Linked DNA regions of Ovis aries. The protein of the gene in region 3 interacts with the protein of the main gene of each other region in a pairwise test. Links are inferred from orthologs where the notes say so. Each region holds a gene or a part of one and is shown on either strand. Other genes may lie near its edges. The genes, in order: SDCBP, SPG21, MTUS2, RPA1, PKP2, FAM124B and THAP7.

Region 1 (3,500 bases), on a different chromosome or scaffold from region 3:
TCCCAAAGAAAGGCCATGCCAAAGAATGCTCAAACTACCACACAGTTGCACTAATGCTAGCAACGTAATGTTCAAAATTCTCCAAGCCAGGCTTCAACAGTATGTGAATCGTGAACTTCCAGATGTTCAAGTTGGATTTAGAAAAGACAGAGGAACCAGGGATCAAATTTCCAATACCTGTTGGATCATCGAATAAGCAACAGAATTCCAGAAAAATGTCTCTTCCTGCTTTCTTGACTATGCCAAAGCCTTTGACTGTGTGAATCACAACAAACTGGAAAGTTCTTAAAGAGATAAGAATAACAGACCACCTGACCTGCCTCCTGAGAAATCTCTATGCAAGTCAAGAAGCAACAGTTAGAACTGGACATGGAATAACAGATTGGTTCCAAATTGAGAAAGGAGTACAGCAAAACTGTATATTGTCACCCTGCTTATTGAACTTCTATGCAGAGTACATCATGAGAAATACTGGACTGGATGAAGCACAAGCTGGAATCAAGATTGCTGGGAGAAATACCAATAACCTCAGATATGCAGATGACACCACCCTTATGGCAGAAAGTGATGAAGAACTAAAGAGCCTCTTGATGAAAGTGAAAGAGGAGATGTTGGCTTAAAGTCAACATTCAGAAAACTAAGATCATGGCATCTGGTCCCATCACTTCATGGCAAATAGATGGGGAAACAATGGAAACTGTGACAGACTTTATTTTGAGGGACTCCAGAATCACTGCAGATGGTGACTGTAGCCTTGAAATTAAAAGACACTTGCTCCTGGGAAAAAAACCTATGACCAACCTATATAGCATATTAAAAAGCCAAAGTCCGTCTAGTCACAGCTATGGTTTTTCCAGTAGTCAGTTATGGATGTGAGAGTTGTAATATAAAGAAAGCTGAGCACCGAAGAATTGAAGCTTTTGAACTGTGGTGTTGGAGAAGACTCTTGAGAGTCCCTTGAACTGCAAGGAGATCAAACCAGTCCATCCTAAAGGAAATTAGCCCTGAATATTCATTGGAAGGACTGATGCTGAAGCTGAAACTCCAATACTTTGGCCACTTGATGCAAAGAACTGACTCATTGGAAAAGACCCTGGTGTTAGGAAAGATTAAAGGTGGGAGGAGAAGGGGACGACAGGATGAGATGGTTGGATGGCATCACCGACTCAATGGACATGAGTTTGAGAAAACTCCTGGAGTTGGTGATGGACAGGGAAGCCTGGTGTGCTGCAGTCCATGGGGTCACAAAGAGTCGGACACAACTGAGCAACTGAATTGACTGACTGAACACCTTATACTTGGTAAAATGTAGATAAACATTTCATTGGGATATGCTGAAATGGCAAAATAAATATTAGCAACTTAAGTATTTAAATTTTTAAGTGTTCTCCTGATATATACTTAGGTAAATATGGTTAAGCTTTTTTCTTCAGGTAAAAAAGGTACTTTTACTTAGACTAAAGTGTAACTATCATTTCTTAATGCATTGTGAAAATATTTGCAGTAGCACTATGAAATATTAGTTATATGTAGAATGGTGTTTAGTTTTTTAAATAGTGTTAAATATTTATATTTTTAATTTTTTATTTTTCTTTCAAAATATATTGCTAAAGTGTTTGAAATTAGAATTTCCTAAATAAAAGTAAAGGGTTTTAGGGGTTTTTTTAATTACTGGATTTAAGTTATATGAGAAGTCTTTTTAAGTGAGTCTCTATAGAGTGTTGTTAGAATTCTTTTTTTTTTTTTTAGGCTCAGACTGCCTTTTCTGCAAACCCTGCCAACCCAGCGATTTTATCTGAAGCCTCTGCCCCCGTCTCTCAAGATGGAAGTAGGTTTATTCTTTGGGTTCCTTCTCCTTGAACAGAGATACCTGTTAAGCCTTCTTTTACTAAAATAGAGAATCCAGAGTATATATATATTTTAACATTTATGGCATGAAATTGGCTGTTAAAGCTCTAGTAGTAAGTTTATTTCAAAACAACCTTTTAATCAAGAAAGTGAACTGTGACTATGAAAGTATGTTTATGACTTTATGAAAATTGTTACTTAAATTTCACCCTTTGCAAGTCCTTGACTCACTGAACTGTCCCCTGTCTTAGGGCTGTGGGGATTGATAGCGTTCTCCTTTAGGGGAACTTTCCAAATCCTGGAGTCTCTACTCTGACTCCATACCCTTCTCCTTTGTTCCTTTTCCTTCTAAATTCATAGGAATTCAGGACAGAACTCTTAAATAATATGACTTCAGATACAAAAGGTGTGGCAATCTCAATGGGGGGGGGAGTTGGGAGAGAATGGATGCATGTATGTGTATGGCTGAGTCCCTTTGCTGTCCACTGCAACCACTACAACATTGTTAATCAGCTCTACTCCAGTATAAAGTGAAAAAAAAAAAATGTTTTTTTTTAAATACAAGAGGAGTGTTAAATAGGTTTTTATGGCCTGTCATCTTATAACATTGTTTCCTTTGGAAAATCCATAACTCACATAAAGAGCTTTTGGAAATAGTATCTAACTCTACTGTTCAGTTAAATACTGTTAATACTGAAATGTACTGTTTCAAAGATTTCATTGCTGTGTATTCTTAAACTGATATGATAATAAATTTACAAGCGTTTTTTTTCTCACAGTTCATTTTTTTGGGTACATTTTATAGCTGTGTTTACTGAATGAATTAAAATGTAGCTGATTTGAAGTGTACATTTTGGTCAGTTGTTCTCAAGTGGAGAATCAGTGGTATGTGTAGAAAATTCCTAATAGGTTTAAGAGAAAGAAAAGGCAAGATAACTTGGAAAAATTATTTCTAGTCTTGAGTATTTAGAAGTCTGAGGTTTCAGTTAAAATGTCTTCATACTTTCACTTTTATTTTTCTGTTTTCCTTTTCTAATTGTCATTACAGAGAAAGGGGTTTTCCAGATTACTAATTTAAATTCATCCTAGATTTTATAAAATCAATGTGATTTTTAAAAATACAAGTAAAAGTCCATAATAACAATGTTTTTTTTAAATAGTCTACTAATTTTTTTTCTCTACTGATTCATTTGTTATTAGATCTCTATCCTAAGCTATATCCTGAGCTCTCTCAGTACATGGGCCTGAGTTTAAATGAAGAAGAAATACGTGCAAATATGGCCTTGGTCCCTGGAGCACCAAGTCATGGGGTATGTATAATGTAATTCGTTCTGAATTATATAAAATCATACCTTACACAGAGATACAAGCTAACTCGTCTTTGTGGCAAACTCACAAATTTATAGCCTTAGCATTGATCTCTTCTCAGGATTGCCTTCTAGGTATTGCTTTTTACACAGTCTACTTCCTTCTGTGCTGTTACCACTTTTCTGATTTATTAGGAGTTAAAGATACAGGTGCCTTTAACTGGTACATTCTCCTTTGTCTTCTGCATTTAGTTACAGACCTAGTGACTCTGCTTCTGGTGTGTTTCTTGTATTCATGTTATGCATTGTAGGCTTGCTGTAGCCCTGTCCATGATTTATACCTCT
Region 2 (3,500 bases), on a different chromosome or scaffold from region 3:
TCTCTGTATTAACTAGGCATTTGGGATTTAGAGATTTAAAAAACCCAGTCTCTTCCTTCAAAGAGCTAGTTTTGAAGCATCTAGTTTTTATAAATGCTTTCTCAAGTTCCCAAAGAGTTATGGTTTCATATGATCAAACTTTTGAGGATTGGGAATAATTATAAGCAATATTTCAAAATGCCTTTATTGCAATAAACATTCTGATAATTCCAAGATTTTATTTTCTAGTTGGTCTTATTTTCAATGGCTAAGCTACTTGTGGAAAACTGAACACTTACTATATTAATCTGAAGGTTTATATCACCCTTTGATTAACATTAAAGGATAGATTTCAAAATAGTAAAATCACAGAGTTATTATACCTACTATTGCTACTAGTGGATTCTTGGGCTAATTCAAGGCAATTCAGTCTTCATGTATTTCTATATGTGATCTTTAGTTAAGAGTGTACTCCATTAATTACATTGGGAGCCCTTATATAGGATAAACATGAATTTTTTTAAACCTATGCTGAAAATAACTTATAAAAGGTACAGACCACCTTCTGATGTACATTCTCAGTAAACGCCCCTCATAAGGACCAGTTAGCCATCTTTCAGTCACCTTCAATGATCTAAGTTCTCAACTCCAACCCATCCCAACAGCTTCTTAACTTCTAAAGGGGATGCTGCCTGGGTGTTTTCTGTGGGTGAGTGGGAGGGGTGGTCATCCTCTTGGCTCTGTTCACCCCTGAAGCCTCTGTGTGGCACATAGTAAGTACTCAGACATTTGATAAAAAAATTCCTGATACGCAAGAGCACCAAGTGGGGGAAATCTTGGCTTCTGACAATCAAAACAACATGAAAAACTCGTCAAAAAGAACGATTTTTGCATCATATTGACATGAAGTATCTGTCTAATGCATACAAGAAACTGCTGCACAAATGCTGAGTAAACAAGCGAGAAAACATCAGGAAACATTTTTTTAAAAATCAGAATGCAATAGTAAATAGTTGTGAAAACCATGAAAACAATGTTTACCTAGAACATTTTGTGAAAACCAATCTGATCACTCAGGTAAGTTAAGTCAATAGGCTACTTTTGGGGGGTAGAGCCTAGCCTTGCTAGCAATGAAAGAAATATAGTGAAGTCAGCTTTAAGGTACCATTAGACATCTATAAAACTAATTCAAATGATAAAATCAATGAAGGGATGGCTCAGAGAAAGCAGGTACCCCACTGGTTGCCTTGCAAAACATTCTGCCCTCTCCATCTTTCTAAAAAGCAGACTAATGTTGTACAAGTGCCAGCGAACTAAACAGTCTCTCCATTTCGGGGAACCTATCTCAAGGAAATGACCCAGAAAGAGAAGAACAAAAGTAATTTACACACAAAGATTTACAGTTGAACCTGATGAAAAATTGAGAGAAGCCCAAGGTCTTAAAAAAAATGTAACAGTCATTACACAGAACTCTGTACACAAAATACTAAGTGGAGCAAGCAGAACACAGTATCAGTGAGATAAGCTCTGAAGGGAAACTGTAAAGGCATTGGAACCATAATACACAAAGCCAGGCGATGATTTAGAGTAACGGGAACCACTGAAGTTAGAATTCTTTCAATTCTTTTCCTTTGCAAGGGTGACCATTTCTAATGCTAAAAGCCAGGATGGTTTCAGAAGACAAAAGTATATATGGCCCCTCCCTCCCTAATGCTTCAAAAAAACCAAACATCACCATTTTCAATTCCACTGAAAATAACAAAACTGTTGGTCGAAGGTTTACATTCTTACCTGTTTGCGGTCCATGTTTGGTTAAAGATAGAGGTGTCACTGAAGGAATTGCAGAGGATGAGGGAGTGGACTCTGGGAGATTTGTGAGTGTATTCAGCAAACTTTTGGGCCAAAAAGCCTCCCAAAGAAGCCCCAAAGAGATGAACCTAATCGGAAACAAACACAAGGATCCTAAAAACAATGACTGATCTTTAAGTATCAAAAAACTGTTTTAATTATCACCAACCACAGAATATAATGTTATCACCAGTCATTAGACTGAAATATTTACAGCAGTTAGAAGTTTAGGAAATACTGTGTTTAAATGCAATGTCTATACCCTGTCAAGAAACAATACAATGGTGCATAAGTTATAGTAGTTAAAAAAAATATTATTTCCAGATTACATTAGAAAATGAAACTACTTTGCAGTTTCTGTTTAAGAAAACAGAAATTTTAATTCGGTAATTCAGTATTTCCACTCCTAGACATGTATTCAAGAGAACTGAAAACATCTGTCTTCACAGAAATTTGTGTAAGAATGTTCATAGCAACATCCCTCATAAAAACTAACCAGTGGAAAACAAATCAAGTGATGAATGGGTAAATAAAATGTGTTTTATCCATACAATGGGATTTTATTTAACAATTAAAAGGAATGAATTATTGATAGAATTTGCAACATCGATGAACCTTGAAAATCTCGTGAGAAGTGAAAAAAGCCAGTCACAAAAGACCACAAATTACATCTTTATATTTATATAAAATATCCATAACAGGCAAATCCACAGACAGGGCTCCAGGGAGGAAGCAGGGTAGTGTCTGCTAAGTATGGGGTTTCTTTTTGGGGTGGAAAAAATATTCAAAAATTGACTGCTGTGATGATTGCACATATCTCTGAATATATTAAATAACAGTGAATTATACACTTTAAAAAGGTAAACTGTATGGTATGTGAATTCTAGCTCAAAAGAGCTGTTATTAAAAAATAAAAGACAACACCAGACAATGATGTAATCATTGCATTAAAATCACATGTGAAAAAAATAAATAAAATAAATAAATAAAATCACATGTGAGTAACTAGTTTTAAGGTACTCACTTTATCCAACTGTAAATGGTCTAAAAGTTTTCTGAATCCATCACAGAATTCAAGGTGGTCCCAATAAACTGGATACTGCAACTAGAATATAACAAGTTTTAAATTTATTTTAAAAACTGTAAAAGTAAAATACAATTCATACGTATCTGAAAACTTTAGGGCTCTCACAACAGTGTTTCTCATTTGCTCAATCTCTGCTCCTTTTTCAAAACATGGGAAAATAAGCTCTCATCTTATCCTAGACTTCAAAATTCCAATTTTATCTAACAGAACAATTAAAAAATAAAAATAAAAATCACACTCTAGTGATACTACATATACAACAATTTCAATTCACATCAATTTCCTTTCCAAATAGCAAGAATTACAATGCAAGACATTAGAAATGCATTTGAAATTAAGAGACCAGCACTTAGAACAATAGTGTGTGTGTGTGTGTGTGTGTGTGTGTGTGTGTGTGTGTATGTATGTACAGAGAGAGACAGAGAGAAAGAGAGAGAGCGAGAGAGAGCACGCTATATCAAAACCTCATGGTAACTGCAAACCAAAAATCTACAATAGATACACATAGAAAAGAAAAATTGATCCAAACAAAACACTAAAGATAGTCATCAAATCGCAAGTGAAAGTATGTTAGCCACTTGGTCAT
Region 3 (4,089 bases):
GGATTCCTGATAATACCACTCAGCCCTGCTATTAGCAATCTGCATTTTCTCGGCAGCTCAGCTACAATATTGGCCAGATTTTTTTTTTTTTTTTGTCTTTTCATAAGACTTCAGATGTTGAAATAAGAAAAAGCATTTTTGAAAGTTAACATTTGAACATTAATTAGGAAACGGGAGATTCAGGGTTTGTAGAGCCTTACATTTATATGACGTATGGGAGGTGAGAGGCAGAGAGTGTCTTCCTTATTAAAAAAAAAAAAAATCCACAATTACAAATGCAAACTTCTGTGGCCAGGAGAGCACGCTGCCAGTGTCCCTCCCGGGGGCTTGGATGGAGCCAGAGTAAGGGCCCCTGAAGCTTAACATTCATTAGCTTCCCCGTCAAGGCGCCTCTGCTGGGAGACACAAAAGGCTAGAGAGGTTAATACGGCAGCATTAAAATCTCCAGAAAACCGCTAAGCAGAACTGTCGTCTCTTACATCGGTCCTCTGGACGCTGTTCTTATCTCTCTTTCACAAACCTCCATCCCTGCTGTTCCCTCTAATTTGGCAGCAGCGATTCATTATGAAAGCGCCTGTGCTGGGCTGGGCTTGTACATCCTTTCCCTGTTTGGGCTTCTCCCATCCAGCACTGTGTCAATTATGTAATAGCCAAAACAGGGAGTTTCACAGAATACGAAAAGCATAGTCGCAGCTCTTACATAAGCCTTCACAAACCACCCATAAGATCCACCCCTAGACTGCAATATTGGGAAATTACATAAGGTAGAAAGAAAACACTGATTCAGCAGCCAAGTTTATTTCCAAACTTAAAGACAATAAAAGCTTTTTTGCACTTTTTTGGCTAGTCTGTATTCACTTAATGAGTGTTGAATGTGATAGAAAGAATGATCTTTCAATAAATCTTGACCGTCTTTCCATGTAAACAGAAAGGAGTATCTTGACACCACGACTCAACGTCACTGTCACTTCTGCACAGAGAGATGTCCCACTTCCCAACTTAGTCAACAGGGGACCATGTATCCCGATAAACATCAACTACTGGGGGACTTCCCTGGTGGCTCAGTGGTAAAGAACCCAGCTGCCAACGCAGGAGACGCAGGTTGGATCCCTGAGTTGGGAAGATCCCCTGGAGGAGGAAATGGCAACCCACTCCAGTATTCTTGCTTGGGAAATCCCATGGACAGAGGAGTCTGGCGGGCTGCAGTCCATGCAGTTGCACAGAGTCAGACATGATTTAGCAACTAAACAACAATATCAACTACTCCTTGTGGATTTTTTAAAAATCAAGAAGATATTTTGACAAAATACAGACGTGAACATGCTATAATTCTTCAACATATCTCCCTTCCTATACCATTTTTCTCTCCCCATATTTCTAACCACTTGTTTTTTACTTTCTTTAAACCACTGTAGCCACACCTTGGGCTACAAAGTGACAAATTAGAAGAAACAGTGCTATCCTATGGGTCTCACCTCAGCTACAGATTGGAATCACTAGGGAGTTTTTAACATTCCAAATATCACAGCATCACCAAAACCCAATTAGAACAGAACACTGAGGTGCCGGTCACAAAAGGAAGTGCCCAGACATCAGTATACTTGATATTCCTACTTCTGTCTTCTTCCCTGAAAAAAAAAAATATCCATAAACACAAGTAGAGATATTAAAGGTTATCTAAATCTTTAATAACTGGCAGCTCATAATTACTGAGTTTCCATCAGCTATAAAAAATAAAATAAGTCACTAGTTTAAAAGCCACAAAGAATATCTGTGGGATCTTTTTTATTACTATCAATACGTGGTTCAAGAATTTTCACCAAGTCTCTCAAGAGCCTTTACAAAACTGTTCTATTTTTTTAACGTTTTACAATTTTACCTAATGAGTTCAAAGAAAGGGCCCTATGTTATCTTTAAGGCTATCTCCAGCTAAGACCATGTTCATCTTCCAGGAAAGTTTAGGTTTAAAGCAGAAATTGTGGCTCTGACTTCTCTTCACCCTCTCTTCAGAGATGCTCTGGTAATTCCTTTTATAACTTTACCAATGAGCAAATATTTTTTTAAAAAGCACTTATATAACAGAGAGTACAGGCGCCTTTGGTACCCTGCCAAGAGTACTTCTTTCCGTGTTTGTATTTAAAATAGAATGGTAGTAACATCACTTGTGCGCCTGAAATTCCTTCTGTGCACAGGCTCAGAATGAAAAAAAAAGAGAAAAAAAATGGATGTAGCAAACCGCTTCGCTGCTTTACCATTACACAGCTCAAAGGAAATAACACATTCATACTAAATTAAGACGAAGAGGCAGAACAAATTATCCAAAGCTGGGGGTGTTGTTGGGGTGGGGGTGGGGGATAGAGAGGTAGGGATTCGGTTGAACCAACCTACCAGCCCTTCGAAAACAGAGGATGTTTAACCTGACAGCATGCGAAGGTGCCGGAGGAGCTGCAAAAAAAACCTCAGCCGGAGCAGGTGATGCAGGCAAGAAAGAACAAGCGCTCGGATGGCAGAAAAGCCCAAATCAACCCCGCGCCGCCCAGCGCCCCCGCGGCGGGCGCTCCCCGGCTCCGCGCAGGGTCCGAGAGCGCCGGCCCCGGGGCCCCGCCAGACCCGGCCGGACGGGACAGAGGAGATTCCGCTCACCTGGGTGGGAAATAGCCTCGGGAGGTGCCCAGGAAGCCACGCTGCCCTGATGGAGAGGCTCATTGCGGACTGGCTTCCCGCACGCCTCCTCCGCCTCCAGCTCGAGTTTTCCTCTTTGGCGACAGGTCTAGACCCGGCCAAGCGGCCGCGCAGGTCCGCAGACGTGGGTGGGGGGGCCACAAACTTGCGGGGAGAAGCCGGCGGCGGCGGCGGCGCGGGCGGAGGAGGCAGGGGCGCCCCCCGCGCGCGGTCCCCGCCGCCGCCCGCCCACGCCCGCTCGCGCCCCGCGCTCACCCCGCGCCGGCACCGCCCAGGCTCGGAGCGCGGGGAAGGCGGGGTAGCGCGGACCCGGAGGCTGAAGCCCCCCAACGGATGCAGCGGCCGCCCCTCCGGCCGCCTTGCCGGGACAAAGAGAAGCGGCGGAGCGGGATGGGAGGGGGGTGCGGCGAAGCGCGGGCCTCGGAGCGCGCCGCGCAACCCGCGCGCCTGGCCGGAGAGGTGCGGGCGGCGGGGACCGCGCGGGCGGGCGGGCGGAGAGGCGCGCTCCCCGTCCGGGCCTCCCCGAGATGCACACGCCGGGACCCGCGCCCCGCAGCCCCGCAGCCCCGCCGGGGAGGCCGCAGCGCCCTCTGCCGGCCCCGGGGCCGCCGTGCGCGCGGCGTCCTGCTCCGGCTCCGCGCCGCCACGGCCCCCCGACGTCCCGGCGCCCCCGGGGGCAGGGGGCTTCGAGGAGGGGGGGGGGGGGGGTCTGCTCTTCTCCCCTGGGAACAGCTTCCAGTATGAGCTGCAGCAGGAATTGGGACCCAGCACGAGAAACGTGGAGGGCACTGGGACTCCTGATGCAGGAGGGGCCCCAAGTTGACCTCTGGAAAGGTTTGCGAAAAATGCAAGCGTTTCTTTCGAGAATCGGGTTTATCTGTGTCTAATAAACACCAAAGGCGGCTAACACTGGTCGAGGGGGTGCCAGAGAGCCTCTCGGGAATAAATATGTTGATTTATTTCTCAAATAAGTGCTCCCGGCTTCCCTAAGCAGTTCGTGCGGCAGGCTTCAAGAGGTGAGCCAGGTCAGAGAACTTCCGCTGCCTCGGGTTCAAATGTCAGTGGGATAAGCCTTTGCCTTTATAAAAATGAAATGTGGGTGCTTGTCCCCGCCCTAATTAGAAGTGTTTTCTTGGTGGCTCAGTTGGTAAAGAGTCTGCCTGCAATGGGGGAGACCTGGGTTCGATCCCTGGGTCAAGAAGATCCCCTGGAGAACGGAATGGCCACCCACTTAACTATTCTTGCCTAGAGAATTCCAGGGATCTAGGAGCCTGGCAGGCTACAGTCCATGGGATAACAAAGAATTGTACAGGACTGAGCGACTAACACTTTGACTTTCAACTTTTTAGGGGTCTTTGTCCTAACTACCACATTAAGCAGTATTTTACACCAGTTAATATTTGAAGC
Region 4 (2,880 bases), on a different chromosome or scaffold from region 3:
GCCTTTGAAATCAAGGAAGACAGGCTTCCTAAAACACTCAAGTTCCTCCACAAAACCACTTCTCAGCACTCCCCTGGGAAGGGGCCCGAGCTGAGAAGGTGTCGCCACTGGAGAAGCGGGAACCCTGCCTACATAATTTAGTTCACTGTCTACAGATTGAGGGTCAATTTCCTGTGACATAATTTCTGGTTGAAAATAACGAGATCTTAGTAAAACTGACAAAAGCCTAAGGACAGGGGGTGAGTGGCACTACAGTCTGTGCAGCTGACCCCGAGGTCTGACACGGTTTACACCAGAGCCCTGCGAGCGTATTTCCCTTTGCTGTCAGTGGGTTCCCAGGTGTGACGAGAGGCGATGGCTTAGTCTGTGGTAGAGGGGTGCTCTGCACCGCTGTCAGTCGGGGCGGGGATGGTGGTGCGCGTGGAGGCTGGGGGTGGGGGGGGGGGGGGGATTCAATCAGCCCTCTATCCACACGCTCCTGCCCCCTTGGCAGGATCCTCTCACATCGCCGCGTTCCTCCTGATGTTCATGACCAGCCTTCTGCCGTATTCTTTGTAGTCCACAGGCTTCACATCCACCACCGTGGCCTTAATCCGAGACTCATCCTTTGAAAAGAGAAGAACGATTTGTGATGGAAGAAACACCTGTGGCCATGCTCCTGGTTTCAGTGACCCCAACAGGAGAGAGCACGAAGACATGCTGGTGGTTCAGAGTCCCGAGAGCCCAGGAAAGGAGCCGTGCTGATGAGCACCGGGGCAAAGGCCCTGCACCGGTTCCTCATGGTCCCAGACACTCGGAAACCTGGACTCCAACAGAGCCAGAAACGGGAGCCCAGAAGACAGTGGCTTGCTAAAGCTACGCCACGGGCTCTGTGAGCGGGCGGTAGGAGAGCAGCCGTGCTCGCAGCAGAGGGCGAAGCCTGCTTCGGCCTGCCTCAGCTCCGTGAGAGGCGACCTTGCTGCCCTTCACCACCCCTGCCCACGCCACACAGGGACCAGTGACCCTTCCACCCCTCCCCCTCGACCACCCCCACCCCACCCTGACACCACACTGCTGACATCGAAAGGCTCATTTAATGCTCACAAAACCAGGCACAGCTGTTAGCAGGTATTAGGGTTCAGGCCTGACAAGAAAGCAGAGCAAGCAAATCCTGAAACAAGCAAGGTTTTCTGAATTCTCCTGTCGCCTGTTCACCAGGTTGGACAGTGCCTTCAGAGGCAGACTGGGGTGAGGCCAGCTCAGGGCCTGCACACTCCAGCTCTGTACCTACAAAACCCAGTCAGATCTCTAAGCATGTGTAGAGCTCTGAGGCTGGACTGCCTACATGCAATTATCAGCTGTGCCACTTGCTAGCGTATGAATTTAGGCAAGTTACTCAACTCTCCGTAACTACAGCTTTTCACTAGCAAAATGCAGGCAACAACAGTTCCTTCACACAGGGTTACTGCTAGGATGAATGGAGACGAAGTATGCAAAGGGTGGGGAACAGTATCTGGCAGATAGTCAGCACTCAATAAAGGCTGTTTTTTCATGATTTTATAATTGTATGACGTTATGAGCAATTAAAGGAATTTCCAAGGTAATGTTAACCACATGTGGTCTTTCTCTCATATACTGACTTTAGAACCCAAACCATGGGGAAGATGGGGTTTGTGTCTGTCAGGACACAAACCAAAATCCCCCAGGTTTTAACTGAAAAGGCCACACAGCATGTTTTCCTTGGCTGTTATTACTGGACATGACCCCTAACCTCTCTCTTGGTCTGTTTGCTCATCTGAAAACAGAGATGGTAACAGCACCCTAATGTTGGTGACTCAGTGAGTAATACATGCAGGGTGTTACGAGTTGGGTCTGGAACACAGTAAGCGAGGAACTGACAGCTAACACTGTAGTGGGGTTGTGGGTGACAGACGAGAGTTCTATGCTGCTACCCTCACGCACCACGGGTGACGCTACTTACATTGTAGGTCTCCAGTTTGACCCTGATCCTGAACGTAAAAGATCGAAAGTTGGCATTCTGGAAAACTTCCTCAAATGCTTGCTCGTTCTGCAGAAACAAAACGTAAAACTGTCAGCATGGAAACTACCAGACCACCTTAAATTATCTATACGGTTTTTAAAAAGACTTGGAGGAAAATCTCTGAGAAAATGATTACCTCCCAGTGGCTTGAAATTTCTTAGGAATGACTAATATATAGGTGACATTTCATCGCATAAAACTGTTTAGGTAGAATTTTATTAAAAATTAAAATACTCTACCTAGAGTACTCAATTTCATACAGACAGAAAGTGGAATGATGGCTGCCAGGGGCAACAGACAGTTAGTGTTTGATGGGTACAGGGTTTCAGCTGAGGAGGATGAAAAAGTTCTACAGCTGGATGATGGTGGCAGCTGCACAGCAATATGAAGGTATTTTAATGCCGGTGAACTTATACATGTGGGCTTCCCTGGTGGCTCAGCTGGTAAAGCCACCTGCAATGGAGGAGACCTGGGTTCAGTCCCTGGGTTGGGAAGATTCTCTGGAGAAGGGAAAGGCTGCCCACTCCATATTCTGGCCTGGAGAATGCCACGGGCTGTATAGTCCATGCGGCTTCCCTGGGTTCAGTCCCTGGGTCGGGAAGATCCAGCGGAGAAGGAAATGGCAACCCTCTCCAGTACTTTTGCCTGGAAAATTCCATGGACGGAGGAGACTGGTAGGCTATAGTCCATGGGATTGCAAAGAGTCAGACACGACTGAGCAACTTTACTGGTTCACTGGTATAGTCCCTGGGGTCGCAAAAGAGTCGGATACGACTAAGCGACTTTCACTCACTCACTCACAATGGTAAATTTTACGGATATTTTATCACAATAGAAAAAAACTAAACACTCTTAAACAC
Region 5 (4,212 bases), on a different chromosome or scaffold from region 3:
CAGAAGCTTTGTTCCTCAGTTGGACTCAAGCAGTTACAGCAGAAGCATCATGACAGGGCCCTTTGTTCTACCATATCAATTCTGTGAACTGTGTAATATTCCTGCTGTTCCCCCTAGAACACTCTTCCTTCAACCCATTACCTATGTCCAATCCTACTGATTTTTTTGAGACCTAAAATCCCAATTCCTCCAAGAAACTTTTCAAAATTCCCTCCAGATAATAGTCTAACTCATACTTCTAAACTTCATAATTTGTTGGCTGTTCTTCCTTTGAGTAGCTTGCCATTTTTTATTTGATTAACCCATTTTTTAGAGAGCATTTTCCTTCTACAGACTTTGAACTCCTTGCTTTAAAGCAAAAAGAGTGTATGTTTAGTTCAGCACCTGCAGCAGTGCCCTGGATGAAGACTAGACACAACAGAAAGTTCTTGAATTCACCACACAACATGAATGCACCATTTTCAAGAGAAAAATCATGTGTGGGTTTGGAACTAAGCGTCCAATAAATGTTGAGAGACTGACAGACTTTTCATATGTGAAATGGATCCTCGCATCTATTTCATGTAACTATTTGAAGGATACAATAAAATGCAAACATAATCTTGAACAGGGTTAGGCACAGAGTAGACGCTCAGCAATGCTCCCTTTCCTTTTGTTCATTCCCTATTTTTACTGAATAGTTGATGTCTGCTTGCTCTTCCTCGCCATTCTCAAAGTGTAGGAAAAATATTTCATGTGCCTTCCTTGCGTTCCCCTATGCAGAAGCAGCTAGTCTGGCTCCAGTTTAGCACTGGATCCGCACAGACTAAAGGGGTACAATGATCTCACTGGTCAAAAACTGGCCTCAGTTGTCCTGGGATCTTTAGTCAGATTCCTAAATGTAAATTAGGTTCTTTTTTTCCATGTGCTATGGCAGTTCTGTGTCACTGAGATGTCTCCACTCTCGCAGAACTTTATCAATTATATTTAAAGGAAAAATGGGAATGGACCATAGACAGGCTTGGGTCTAATAAAAATCCTACTTTGTATTAATTACCAAAAAGCTTAACAAAGTAACTGATGAGTAGTTTAAAAATTAAGGCTTGGGAGTTTTTCTGCTACTTACTATCTGTGGGAAATTGTTACTTAACTGCTTAGTAAAGCAACCTACCTCACAAGCATTGTTTTTTCCTGGAAACATAAATAACATAATGAATACACACCACAAAGTCCAATTCTTGGCACATAGTAGGCACACAATTATATCAACTCTAATCATTAAACAGCTTCTCTTTACCTTTCAAGTACGTAAATACTGATTGCCTGACCCTTTAAAATTATTTTACACAAATGGAAAACAATACAGCCTCTCAGTTTCTGCGGTTTTAGATCTCTGATCTGGTCTGCAAGCATTTTTCTTTTTCCTAATCGATTCTACAGTTGTCATTTCTCCAGTTAACTTCCTAGACAAACAGTTCAACATCGCATGAAACAACTGGTAACCCAACTTAACTGTTTCTTTCCTCTTCTCTTTTCCATAACAAGCCTAGAATACTTTTATATTAAAAAATTAAACAACTAATAAAATAATTACTGGGGGGCTCTGATCATCTGACTTTTAGCAAGAGAGAAAAGGTATTTCACGTTCTCTAATTTTCAGAACTGGTTTGCCATCTTCTTCCCCTTCCACCTCCTTAACTATCAATTACTAAAACAAAAAAAACAAAAAAACAAAAAAACCACCAAACCTTGTTCACTTCCAAAGTTTAATTTTTTTGTAAATACCAGCGCTGTACTCACGAGTGCGTTGGCGGGGCACAAGCAAGCAAGGCAGGCGGGACTGCTGCTGGCCGGGTCAAAGTCCCCTTCTTTCTTCTCCTCTTCCTAGTCAACCCGCGGGGTGGTGTGATTGCTCCCCAGCCCAAAGTCTCCTACCTTTCACTTCCTAGATGAAACCACTCGCTCCATACACGAGGTGGAGTGCCCCGAAGTATCTAGGCAAGGCCCACAATCCCAATTTATAGGTTGTAGGAGAGCCAGTACTTTCAGGTTTTCTTTTGAAAAATATTTATGGAGGTCACAGATCCTTTAAAAATTTTAATAAAAGCTCAGGGCGCTTTCTCCCAGAAAAAAATGATTATATCAAATTTCTGCACAGAATTTCAAAGTGTTTACAAATTCCTGGAACCTTCAGATGAAGTCCCCTGGGGTGGACGGCCTAGGGGAGTAGGTTAAGGAAGGGGTGAAAATCTTGGACTGAATTCTTTTCAAATATATATATTTATACACACGTATATGCATTTAATATACGTAGATACATACATGACAAATCTGAGTAAGAGGTAATTTTAAGAAAGAGTGCTTTTCCAAAGTAAGCTGGTTTGAGTCTGGAGGCACGACTGGCCGTACAATGGGCCGGCAACCAACAGGTGTGCAGAACCCGGGTCCTGCACCCTCAGGAAGAAGCAAGAGGAAGCAACCGGGCGCTGAGGGTGAACGGGGAGTAGGGAAGGGATAAAGGGCAGGATGAGGGCGGTGTAGGGGACAGCGGGGCTGCACTCACCGTTGCCCGCGAAACTGCGGCCCTTCCGGGCCAGGGTCTGCTGCACCTGCTCCTGGATCCGCAGGCTCTTGACCGCCTGGCCGCTGCTCCCCGCCAGCTTCAGCTTGGCCTCGGAGGGCAAAGCCAGGCTGGAGCTGTCCAGCTGCCCCAGGATCTGCTGGCCCAGGACTGTCCGGATGTAGCCGCACTCCGCCGAAGAGCCGGGAGCAGCCATGAGGCCGGAGCTGGGGACCAAGCCGCTTGCCTGCCGCGAGACCTGCGGGAGAAGCTGCGGCGGAGCCCGGGGCACCCGTGCAAGCCCCGCCCCACCGCCCCGGCCCCGCCTCCGGCCCCGCCCCCGCGCCGGTGAGAGGCCGGAGCTGAGGAGAGCAGGGCCTTCGGAGGCCGGAGCTGGGTCTAAGGCAGGAGAGGGGCGCGGCTCTAGCGCGCCTAGCACTCGGCTAGGGAGCTGGGCCGAGCGGACCTCGCGCGCCGACACCTGGCGAGTTGAACTGCTCACAAGGAAGCGGGAGAGGGGCGCGGTCCGCCGTGGGGCGTGCACACTCTCCGAGTCATCTCGGATCCTGCGGGCCGGGGCCGCACCCCGCTCTCTATGCCTCGCCTGGCCTCCGCCTAGCCCTCGAGAACGACGTGATTTCCGCCTGACTGCCGGGGTCGACCTGCAGGCACTTGCTCCCTGGAGGGTCAGTGCTGTTCTTGGGCCGAGGTTTGCCTCTGGGATCTCCGAGGGAGTAGTCTGTCTGGTTCAGTCAGGCTCTGTCAGACTGTTCGAAACATTTCCTGGATCTGAGATGAGAAGGGGCTATTTGATCAGGCTTAAGAAGGCAGTAGGAGGGAAATGTGCTGAGAAGACGATCTGTGTGAAATAAATGAGTTTTTAAAATAGTTTTTTTTTTCTTCCCCCTTCGTACAGTTTCAGGGACTGTCCTTTTTGCGCAGATGCAGTCCCGGAAACATATGTTCTTCCTTACTGAGAGTTTCTGTTTTCTCTTGCACATACACAAATTGTACCCAGTACAGTCTTGCTCACCCACTCCTCTCTTATGAACACTCCCACACAGAGAAGCTCCGATAAGAGAGCAAGCACGCTTTCAATAGCTGATACTTTTAAAGTCCTTTTTATGATAGACTCTTTGTAGGGATCCCATGGAAGGAGTCTATGACTTTTCAGTCGTGTATTCCACAATGTATTGCTATTAGTTGTGTTTCACACTTCGTTAACTGCAGAGAACATGATGAGCTAAACTTAACAGAAAGAGCCCTTGACCTTAAAGCTTTCAAATTAAGTCACTCATCCGGCTTTCCCTCTTTGGACTTGAGAGGCAGAAGGAAAAACATCTATCCCCGGTAATAAGATAAATTCCATTTGATTACTTGGGATTCTATGTTCACTCTACCTCAAATCACTGAGTTATTGCAGAACCTCACTTATTCAGGTTTCTGGTGGCTAGAGAACACAGCTTCTCCTGTCTCCGTTTTCCTATGGCATATCCTTTTGTCTTTACACACACACTTAAAGCACAGTATAAGGCCTTCCAGGGGATGAATAGGAAGTGAAGGGGCCCAAAGCCTGGACAACTGGAGTGGCAACAATTCTGCCATCCTTGCTCAGCTGGCCACATGGGAAGCCATGTGAAGCCATGTAGATGGTGGGTCTTCTATGCAATTCC
Region 6 (4,058 bases), on a different chromosome or scaffold from region 3:
ATCAGTATGACTCATATTTTATTAATAACTCAAAGCTGATGAGAATAAAATTAATCAAAGGGAAAGATAATTCATCTTTTAGCCTGCTTTTACCTTATCCAGTAGGTCTTAAAGCACTTCCTGACCATTTCTCAAGGACAGGAACTTTGCTGTGAATATCATGTACACCTCCCTGCCCACACACACTTACAGAGTACTGGACTGTGGTGGTTAACTTGCCTGGTTTCAGAGCCAGGTAAACACTTAATCTTGTGTCTTGAGCAAGTAACTGGTACCTCTACTCCTTGGTTTTGCCTTTTGTAAAACTTCCTAGGTTGTAAGAAGGACTAACTAAAATAATCAAAGTGAAGTACTTAGTCTAGGGCATAGTATCAGAGAAGGCAATGGCACCCCACTCCAGTCGTCTTGCCTGGAAAATCCCATGGATGGAGGAGCCTGGTAGGCTGCAGTCCATGGGGTTGCAAAGAGTCCGACGCGACTGAGTGACTTCACTTTCACTTTTCCCTTTCATGCATTGGAGAAGGAAATGGCAACCCACTCCAGTGTTCTTGCTTGGAGAATCCCAGGGACGGCAGAGCTTGGTGGGCTGCCGTCTATGGGGTCGCACAGAGTTGGACACGACTGAAGCAACTTAGCAACTTAGCAGGGCATAATATAAACAATAACAGCTAAAATTGCTTTCTGGGCACTAGCTTAAGCTCTTTATAAATGTCAGGTCACTTAGTTAAATAACAACCTGTCCTCTAGGAAGATGTTATACTACCCTCATTGTGCTAACGAAGGAAACAAGGTTCAAACATCATGGAGCTACTAAGTGGCAAGGTTCAACTGTCACATAATATTGTATAAGAAATGACTTGTGGTAACTGTAATTATGCTTGCTTTCAGTAGGATGCTTACCAGAAGATTTTTTAATTCAAGCTTTTCTCAATTTTGAAGGGTTCTAACCATCTAACTTGATTTGGGATAAAATTTCAGAGTGATGCAAGATACTTAATAGTTAGGTCAACAGGATGGCACGTTTACCATTTGTTGTTGTTATTGTTTTAGTCACTAAGTCATGTCTGACTCTCTGTGATCCCATGGACTGTAGCCCACCATGCTCTTCTGTCCATGGGATTCTCCAGGCAAGAATACTGGAGTGGGTTGCCACTTCCTTCTCCAGGAGATCTTCCCAACCCAGGGCTCGAACCCACGTTCCTACATTGGCAGGCAGATTCTTTATAACTGAGCCACTAGGGAAGCCCAACATACTTAACATTCCCAACTTTAATCATAACTTCAGCTTTCTTAGGTTCACATGGAAAGAACTAACGAAATTTCTGAACTGAAAGAGTGGGCAAAATATTGGTGTCTAGTTAAGGAGCATGGTTACAGGAAAATCTGAAAAATGGGACGTTGTCTGAGTCTACTGCAAACTACTTGTGTAAGTTACCAGCTCACAGCATCCGAACTTCCTCTCCTGTCAGATGAGGGGATTTGATTAAACCAGTGACTCTCAACTGTGCTATAAGTTATATATTAGCATTATCCAAGGAGCTTTCAAAAAATACCCAAGCCTGGGTGCCCCCAAAGATTCCAGTCTAACTGATCTGGAGTGAAGTCATGACATGAGAAGATTTGAAAGCTCCCCAGAGATCCTGGTATGCAAAGAAGGTTGAGAACCACAACATGATTTTGGCTGTCAAATCATACGGCTACACGGGCATCTAGAGATCACAGAGACCAAACAGACATACCTGAAGCAGAATCTTGTTGCCGTCATAGTCCTGTGTTTGCCACCGGGTGCGGCTGATGGGGACGCAGGGATGGGGTAGAAGAGGCACTAATTGGCCAATCTCCTGGACCTTGAACTGCAACACTGAAGCCTCTTTGGGGTCCACCGATGTTCCGAGGGGCAGCTGCTTCAGGGAGAGCTGCAGGGCAAAGGTCTCAGTGGAGTAGAGCACGAAGAAACAGAAGTTGCTCTTTTGCAAGGTGGCTTCTCTCTGCAGGATCATTGCGTAGAGCCGGATGGCATCTTCGTAGTTATCAAAACTGCAGTAGAGTGTCACTCTCAGGATCTCGGTGCCACAGTGCACCTGCCTCACGCCCCAGATGGGCATCTGGCTGTCCAGACTGTAGAATTCCTGATTGGCAAGAATGTAGGGGCAGGGTCTTCCCTGGGCGTTCTGCGTGGGGTAGCACTGCCACGGCCAATGCTGTAGGGAGTCAAGCACGCGGAAAAGCCTCTCTTCGCCTAGGTTCTCCTGCAAGAAAAGCAGAACAGACATCCCCGGGAAGCGTGACCGCTTGGAGTAGCACTTGTCGTAGTATTTCACTGGACTGGCCCGCTCGGACACAAGAAAGAGACGGATATCTGGGCAAATGCAATCTAGGAGCCGATCCAGGGTTTGCTGCAAAAGCAAGCCCTGCCCCGCGTTGGCCAGGAGGTGGACAGTCATGGCCGGGGCCTCCGGTATCTCATCCATCGTGGATGCTGAGGATGACAAAGGATGCTGGCGAATGGGGCCCGCAGGTCCGGCTTCTGAAATGAACTGGAGGGGTGGGAGGTTCCTACATTCAGCCTTCAGCCCAACAGGAAAGCTTCAGGACTTCAGAGCCACGCTCTTATCCTGTATGCCTGGTTGCTGCTGGCCACACTGTGAGAGAATCTCCACAGATTCGGGGACAATAGCCTCCATGAGACACACACCAGCAGCGGGGTCCATGTCATCCAGCCGGTGTATAATGTAACTGCGAGTGCAGGGCTGTGTCAGGCACTCCGGGGTTTCTGTTTGACCTAAAAACCTATAATCCTGAGAAACACTCGAGTGGGTGGTTCTTACAGACACTCGGTAAAGGAAATGACCAGGCAAAAAGGAATAAGAATCGGCTGTGAGAGGCTGATAGCAATCTGTTTAGTTGAAAAGACATCCATTTTCTGGGCCCACAATGGGTTCTGGTTTCCTCCTTCCCTCCCTCCCTGTTTACAGTAGCCCGCCAGGCCACCTGAACACAATGACTGCTTTAAAACAATCCTCCCAACTTGTCCCTTGGCCAGGAATTTTCCCCCTTTGTCTTTTTATTTTCTTCTTGAACAATGGATGCCTGGGCTTTGAAGAGAAGTTACTATATCCAAATAATTTTAACTGTTCACTGAAAATGATTCTCTCTGCTGCCAAGTGTATTCAAAAGATATTTACTCAAGCCCATTCTTTAGAAAGAGTGAGACCTTTCTAAGGTCAATAATAATCTTTGTTCACTCTGTTGAGGATTTACTACATACCAGTCATAAACTGTTCTAGAACTTTACGTAAATTGGTTTAATCCTCCAGCAAACCTATGAAGAGACCATTGTCCCCAAATTACTGAGAAGGAAACTAAGGCACAGAAAAGTCACGTAACTTGCTTAAGGTCTCAGAGCTAAAAGCGGCTGAGGGAACATTTGAATCCAGGAACTGAGTGAGTGGCCCCGCTGTGAGCCAGGGAGAAGGTACCTCTCTGGGACCCAGATGTCCCAGACTGGACTTTCTCCCTGAATATAAGGAAAGGCTGCCCAAGCAAGTTCTCATTAAGGACATTTATTTCTCAGAGACTCTGTGTGCTGTTGAATCTCAAACTGAATAATCCTCAATAAGAACATCCAAGCTCTAAATATACAAACTTCCCTGATGGCTCAGATGGTAAAGAATCTGCAATGTAGGAGACCTGGGTTCGATTTCTGGGTTGGGAAGATCCCTTGGAGGAAGGCATGGCTAATACTCAATAACACCCAAGCTCTAAACATAACACCTACCCTAATGTGTTCTAAATATCCATTTAAAAATCATTAGGAATTCTGATAGCTGTGCTACTAAAAATGTAGACAAGCACATTTTTCTAACTGTAATTTTTAAAAAGCTATTTATTAATGCTTTTAGTGCAATTCAGGAGACCCCAGTTCAATTCCTGGGTTGGGAAGATCCGCTGGAGGAGGGATAGTTTACCCACTCCAGTAATCTTGGGCTTCCCTTGTGGCTCAGTTGGTAAAGAATCTATCTGCAATGTGGGAGACCTGGGTTTGATCCCTGGGTTGG
Region 7 (3,639 bases), on a different chromosome or scaffold from region 3:
CCTCTCCTGGCCCCTTGCTGGCTGCCGTACTCCTGAGCTGCCTGGAGGTTCCTGCCTGGGCGGGGCTGGGCCTCCCCATCCTCTGCCCTGCGTCCATCCCAGTGGGTAAGGCACCATTCTGCCCCCCTTCTGGGAACAACAGCTCTTGTGCCCAGGCTGCCAGGAAGCCACTTAGGGGAAAACAGTCTTCTGAGCCTTAAAGCTCGTTTCCTGCCTCAGGTTGTGCCCCCAGGATCCACACAGGGCCTGCCACACCTCCAGCCTGACTGGCGGGCCTGGGGGTGGCGGGTGGGTGGACAGGCTCGGTCGAGGGGCGCTCACCTGGAGGCACAGGAAGTTCGGCAACGGCCTGAGTGAGGGGGGCCTCGGCCAGCCTGGGGGCTTGGGGATCACCGCGACTGCAGGGTCGAGCCCTCTAGCGGGCTATAGCCAGTCGGGGGAGATGGACGTGGTACCCAGGGGGCGGGGCCCCAACGCTCCGCTGAGCCAGAGAGCAGGGCTTCTTTTGAGGATCCCCTTTATTGTGGCAGACACGGCTCAGGGCAGCTCCCTGTCCAGGTGGCCCCTCAGGCCATGCTGCTGCTCAGCTGCATGGCAAAGTCCTGCACGTGCTCCTTCAGCGTCTGCCGGGCGTCGGCCTGGGCCCGCTTCTCCCGCGCTCGCTCCTGCTGCAGCTTGGTCAGCCGCAGCCGCAGCCGCTGCTCCCGCCGCTTGCAGGCCTGCAGCTGGCGCTGGGCCTTGTCCAGGGCATCCAGGGCGGCCTCGGCCCGCCGCTTCCAGAGCAGGGCGCTGCCCACCTGGTAGCTGTGCTCGCTCTGGATGTAGGCGCCGGCGGGCGGCGGGAGGCGCAGCATGTAGGCCGAGGGCGAGGCGGGCCGCGGCTCCAGGGGGGACGGCTGGCGCTCTGGGGAGGGCTGGGCGCTGCAGCCCGCCTCATCTGCCTGGGCGCCCAGGGGCCCCAGAAGGTCGGAGAAGGGGCTGCTGAGGCCAGGCTCCAGCCTCCCGGCTGGGGAGGCAGACAAGACCGCAGGTGCTGAGGCTTCTTCCACAGGAAAGCAGGCGACGTCAGCAGGTGGAGGAGGGGAAAATGGAGCGGTGGGCCCCGGGCCCTCAGAGCAGCTGGGAGGAGACAAACAGACTGACACGCCGGGCCAGGCGCAGCGCGCCCTGACCCGCTTCACAGCCCCGCTCACCCCCATCCCTGAGCCCACTCCACAGGCTCCCAGCCGCGCCCAGGAAGGCTGCTGGCCAGCACCCTGCAGGCCGGTCCCTCCGGGGCTGTACAGCGGGACAGCACGTACCGTTTCCTGCATCGCCGCAGGCGGCTGACTTCTGGGGGGCCCGGCGGGTAACCGTGCCGCTTGGTCTTGGTCCGGCGCAACTTCGAGAAAGACTCAAATATGGTTGGAACTGCTCCCTCCTTCAGCCTGTGATACCCACTGCGGGGAGAGTGGTCTGGATGAGACGGAACACAGTCCTGCCACACTGCAGGCGGCAGAGCAGCCTGCCACCCTGGCTCCGTAGGAAGTGGGAGGCAGCGTGCCGACAATGAGTTCAGGGAGTTTCCCAAGTTAAGGGCCCCCCCACCACCGGAGCAGCAGGCAGAAGGACGGGTTTCTTCCGCGCCTTTGCTGGGAGGGCTGGGGCTGCAGGGAGCGCGCTCCGCCTGTGGCCAGTGCGGCAGGCGTGGGGCTAGGGTCTCGCTGCCCAGGTCCGCCTGGAGCGGAAGCTGAGGTGACGAGGTGGGAAGCACCAGACCTGCTACTCCGGCGGCCTCCCCACCGGCCACCCGCCCCATGTTCACGCCCTCCCGACCGCCGGCTGCCAGGAGGCTCACCTTATTCCCACCAACTCGAAGCAGTTCTCCTCGAAGTGCTTGGAGCAGAAGTAGATGTACTCGGACGCCGGGTCCCACAGGCCCTGCCCGCTCGGGTCCAGTCGCTGGCAGTTGGCCAGCCACAAACCCCGCCTCGGGTTGTCCTTCTTGGGAAGCCTGCGGGGGCCGCGAGCCCGTGAGCGCGACGGGAAGGTGCGCCCGGCTCATACCGCCCGCGGACCTCCTGCGAACCCAGCCCGCGCGCTCCCGGGGAGACAGGCCCGCCCGGCATCCTCGCGCAGCGCAGGCGCCGCCCCCGCCCGCTGCGCGCCCCGCCAGAGCCCCGCCCCCGGCGCGAAGGCGCGTGCGCGGCGGCGGGGCGGGCGCATGCGCAAGCGGCCCTGCGCGCCGACCTGTGGAAGGAGATGCCGCGGTTGCGCGTCTCGCGCGTGTCCCGTGTGCAGCAGCCGGCGGCGGAGCAGTGACGCGGCATCTGGGGCAGAGGCGGGCGCTCGGTCTCAGCGGCCGCCGGGGTCCAGGCCGCCGCCCCGCTCCGGCGGCCGCGGCCTGGAGAGTCTCCCCGGCCCGACCTCGCCGAGTCCCGCCCCAGCCCGCTCTTCCGACTCCTGTCTGCGGCACTCACGGTCTCGCCATTGCGGCGCCGCCGAGGTCTCGCGAGGTTTGCCGAGCCGCGGAAGTCGGGACCATAGAGACGCGGAAGCGCGCGGCGCTCGCTGAGGGGCGGGCCCCGGAAGCGGCGGGAGGGGCCGCGGGCCTCGCCCAGGCCGCCCGCATCCGGGTGGTGCCGGCAGCGGGGATTGCCCTGGGCTGGGGGTGGCTCCAGCGCCGCTGCTCCGGGGCGCGCGATGCGGGCCCCGATCCGCAGACCCGCTCGGGTCCGCTTCCTGCCCCGAGGAGCTCGCTGACCCGACGTGTGTAGGTGGAGCGCGCGTCCCGGTTCCGCCCCCGCTCCTTCCCGGGTTAACGCGCCCGGTGACGCTCGGCAGAGTCAGACAGACGTGCGGCTCTGCCGCCACACTGCCGTGGGGAGGAACACCGTTTCCCGCAAAGCAATACACAGATGATGCTCAACACAAAAACTTTAATAGGGAAACATCTGTGAAGGGGCCGTCGGGGGACCGGGTGCAGGGCTGCGGCCGCGCCCCCCCCTCAGTACTCCTCCCCTTCCTCGGCCTCCGCCTCCACCGAGTCCACGCCCACCTCCTCGTAATCCTTCTCCAGCGCCGCCAGGTCTTCCCGGGCCTCCGAGAACTCGCCCTCCTCCATGCCCTCCCCCACGTACCAGTGCACGAAGGCGCGCTTGGCGTACATGAGGTCGAACTTGTGGTCCAGGCGGGCCCAGGCCTCGGCGATGGCCGTGGTGTTGCTCAGCATGCACACGGCCCGCTGCACCTTGGCCAGGTCTCCCCCCGGGACCACCGTGGGGGGCTGGTAGTTGATGCCCACCTGCCGGAGAAAGAGAACATGCTCAACTTGGGAGTGAGGCCTCGGAAATGGTAGCTCGTTTCTAAGCATGGGGGCCATGGACCCACTTCAGACGACGCCCTGTAGGAACGGGTACTCTCTTTTTCGGCAGGATCTGGCAGTTTAATATCCCACGTTTTCACTTCTAGAAGGGACTTGAGCTTTTCAGCCTTCTGCATGACTAAAATATCTTGCCACATACACACTTTTATAATGAGAAAACCTAATACAAACGTGGGGAAAGATTCCAGGAAAATGGTGACAGACGGTCGTCAACACGTGACGCCACACCCAGACTCACAAGTGAGGATTCGACACCGTCGGGGTGAACTGTCTTC

Evidence for each region.
Region 1: the proteins of MTUS2 (region 3) and SDCBP interact in binary tests that used the Homo sapiens proteins (3 or more experiments, as listed by UniProt). The two-hybrid records come from large-scale screens. The link is inferred for Ovis aries from reciprocal best matches to the Homo sapiens genes MTUS2 and SDCBP.
Region 2: the proteins of MTUS2 (region 3) and SPG21 interact in binary tests that used the Homo sapiens proteins (3 or more experiments, as listed by UniProt). The link is inferred for Ovis aries from reciprocal best matches to the Homo sapiens genes MTUS2 and SPG21.
Region 4: the proteins of MTUS2 (region 3) and RPA1 interact in binary tests that used the Homo sapiens proteins (3 or more experiments, as listed by UniProt). The two-hybrid records come from large-scale screens. The link is inferred for Ovis aries from reciprocal best matches to the Homo sapiens genes MTUS2 and RPA1.
Region 5: the proteins of MTUS2 (region 3) and PKP2 interact in binary tests that used the Homo sapiens proteins (3 or more experiments, as listed by UniProt). The two-hybrid records come from large-scale screens. The link is inferred for Ovis aries from reciprocal best matches to the Homo sapiens genes MTUS2 and PKP2.
Region 6: the proteins of MTUS2 (region 3) and FAM124B interact in binary tests that used the Homo sapiens proteins (3 or more experiments, as listed by UniProt). The link is inferred for Ovis aries from reciprocal best matches to the Homo sapiens genes MTUS2 and FAM124B.
Region 7: the proteins of MTUS2 (region 3) and THAP7 interact in binary tests that used the Homo sapiens proteins (3 or more experiments, as listed by UniProt). The two-hybrid records come from large-scale screens. The link is inferred for Ovis aries from reciprocal best matches to the Homo sapiens genes MTUS2 and THAP7.

What each region holds. Positions count from the first base shown.
Region 1 is NC_056062.1:37,739,715-37,743,214, forward strand, and holds part of SDCBP (syntenin-1), read left to right. Parts: intron 1-1,749; coding exon 1,750-1,828; intron 1,829-3,048; coding exon 3,049-3,158; intron 3,159-3,500. UniProt on the Homo sapiens protein: Multifunctional adapter protein involved in diverse array of functions including trafficking of transmembrane proteins, neuro and immunomodulation, exosome biogenesis, and tumorigenesis.
Region 2 is NC_056060.1:11,887,484-11,890,983, forward strand, and holds part of SPG21 (maspardin), read right to left. Parts: intron 2,933-3,500; coding exon 2,852-2,932; intron 1,917-2,851; coding exon 1,771-1,916; intron 1-1,770. UniProt on the Homo sapiens protein: May play a role as a negative regulatory factor in CD4-dependent T-cell activation.
Region 3 is NC_056063.1:31,674,265-31,678,353, forward strand, and holds the start of MTUS2 (microtubule-associated tumor suppressor candidate 2), read right to left. Parts: upstream 2,801-4,089; 5' UTR 2,644-2,800; intron 1,629-2,643; exon of another isoform or gene 1,476-1,628; intron 1-1,475. UniProt on the Homo sapiens protein: Binds microtubules. Together with MAPRE1 may target the microtubule depolymerase KIF2C to the plus-end of microtubules. May regulate the dynamics of microtubules at their growing distal tip.
Region 4 is NC_056064.1:22,831,594-22,834,473, reverse strand, and holds the end of RPA1 (replication protein A 70 kDa DNA-binding subunit), read right to left. Parts: intron 2,048-2,880; coding exon 1,961-2,047; intron 606-1,960; coding exon 501-605; downstream 1-500. UniProt on the Homo sapiens protein: As part of the heterotrimeric replication protein A complex (RPA/RP-A), binds and stabilizes single-stranded DNA intermediates that form during DNA replication or upon DNA stress.
Region 5 is NC_056056.1:182,512,061-182,516,272, reverse strand, and holds the start of PKP2 (plakophilin-2), read right to left. Parts: upstream 2,801-4,212; 5' UTR 2,757-2,800; coding exon 2,543-2,756; intron 1-2,542. UniProt on the Homo sapiens protein: A component of desmosome cell-cell junctions which are required for positive regulation of cellular adhesion.
Region 6 is NC_056055.1:226,558,936-226,562,993, forward strand, and holds the start of FAM124B (protein FAM124B), read right to left. Parts: upstream 2,801-4,058; 5' UTR 2,472-2,800; coding exon 1,740-2,471; intron 1-1,739.
Region 7 is NC_056070.1:72,373,248-72,376,886, forward strand, and holds THAP7 (THAP domain-containing protein 7), read right to left. Parts: upstream 2,500-3,639; 5' UTR 2,460-2,499; intron 2,310-2,459; coding exon 2,230-2,309; intron 1,994-2,229; coding exon 1,838-1,993; intron 1,440-1,837; coding exon 1,302-1,439; intron 1,120-1,301; coding exon 567-1,119; 3' UTR 501-566; downstream 1-500. Other genes in the region: tubulin alpha-3 chain, read right to left, coding at 2,987-3,283. UniProt on the Homo sapiens protein: Chromatin-associated, histone tail-binding protein that represses transcription via recruitment of HDAC3 and nuclear hormone receptor corepressors.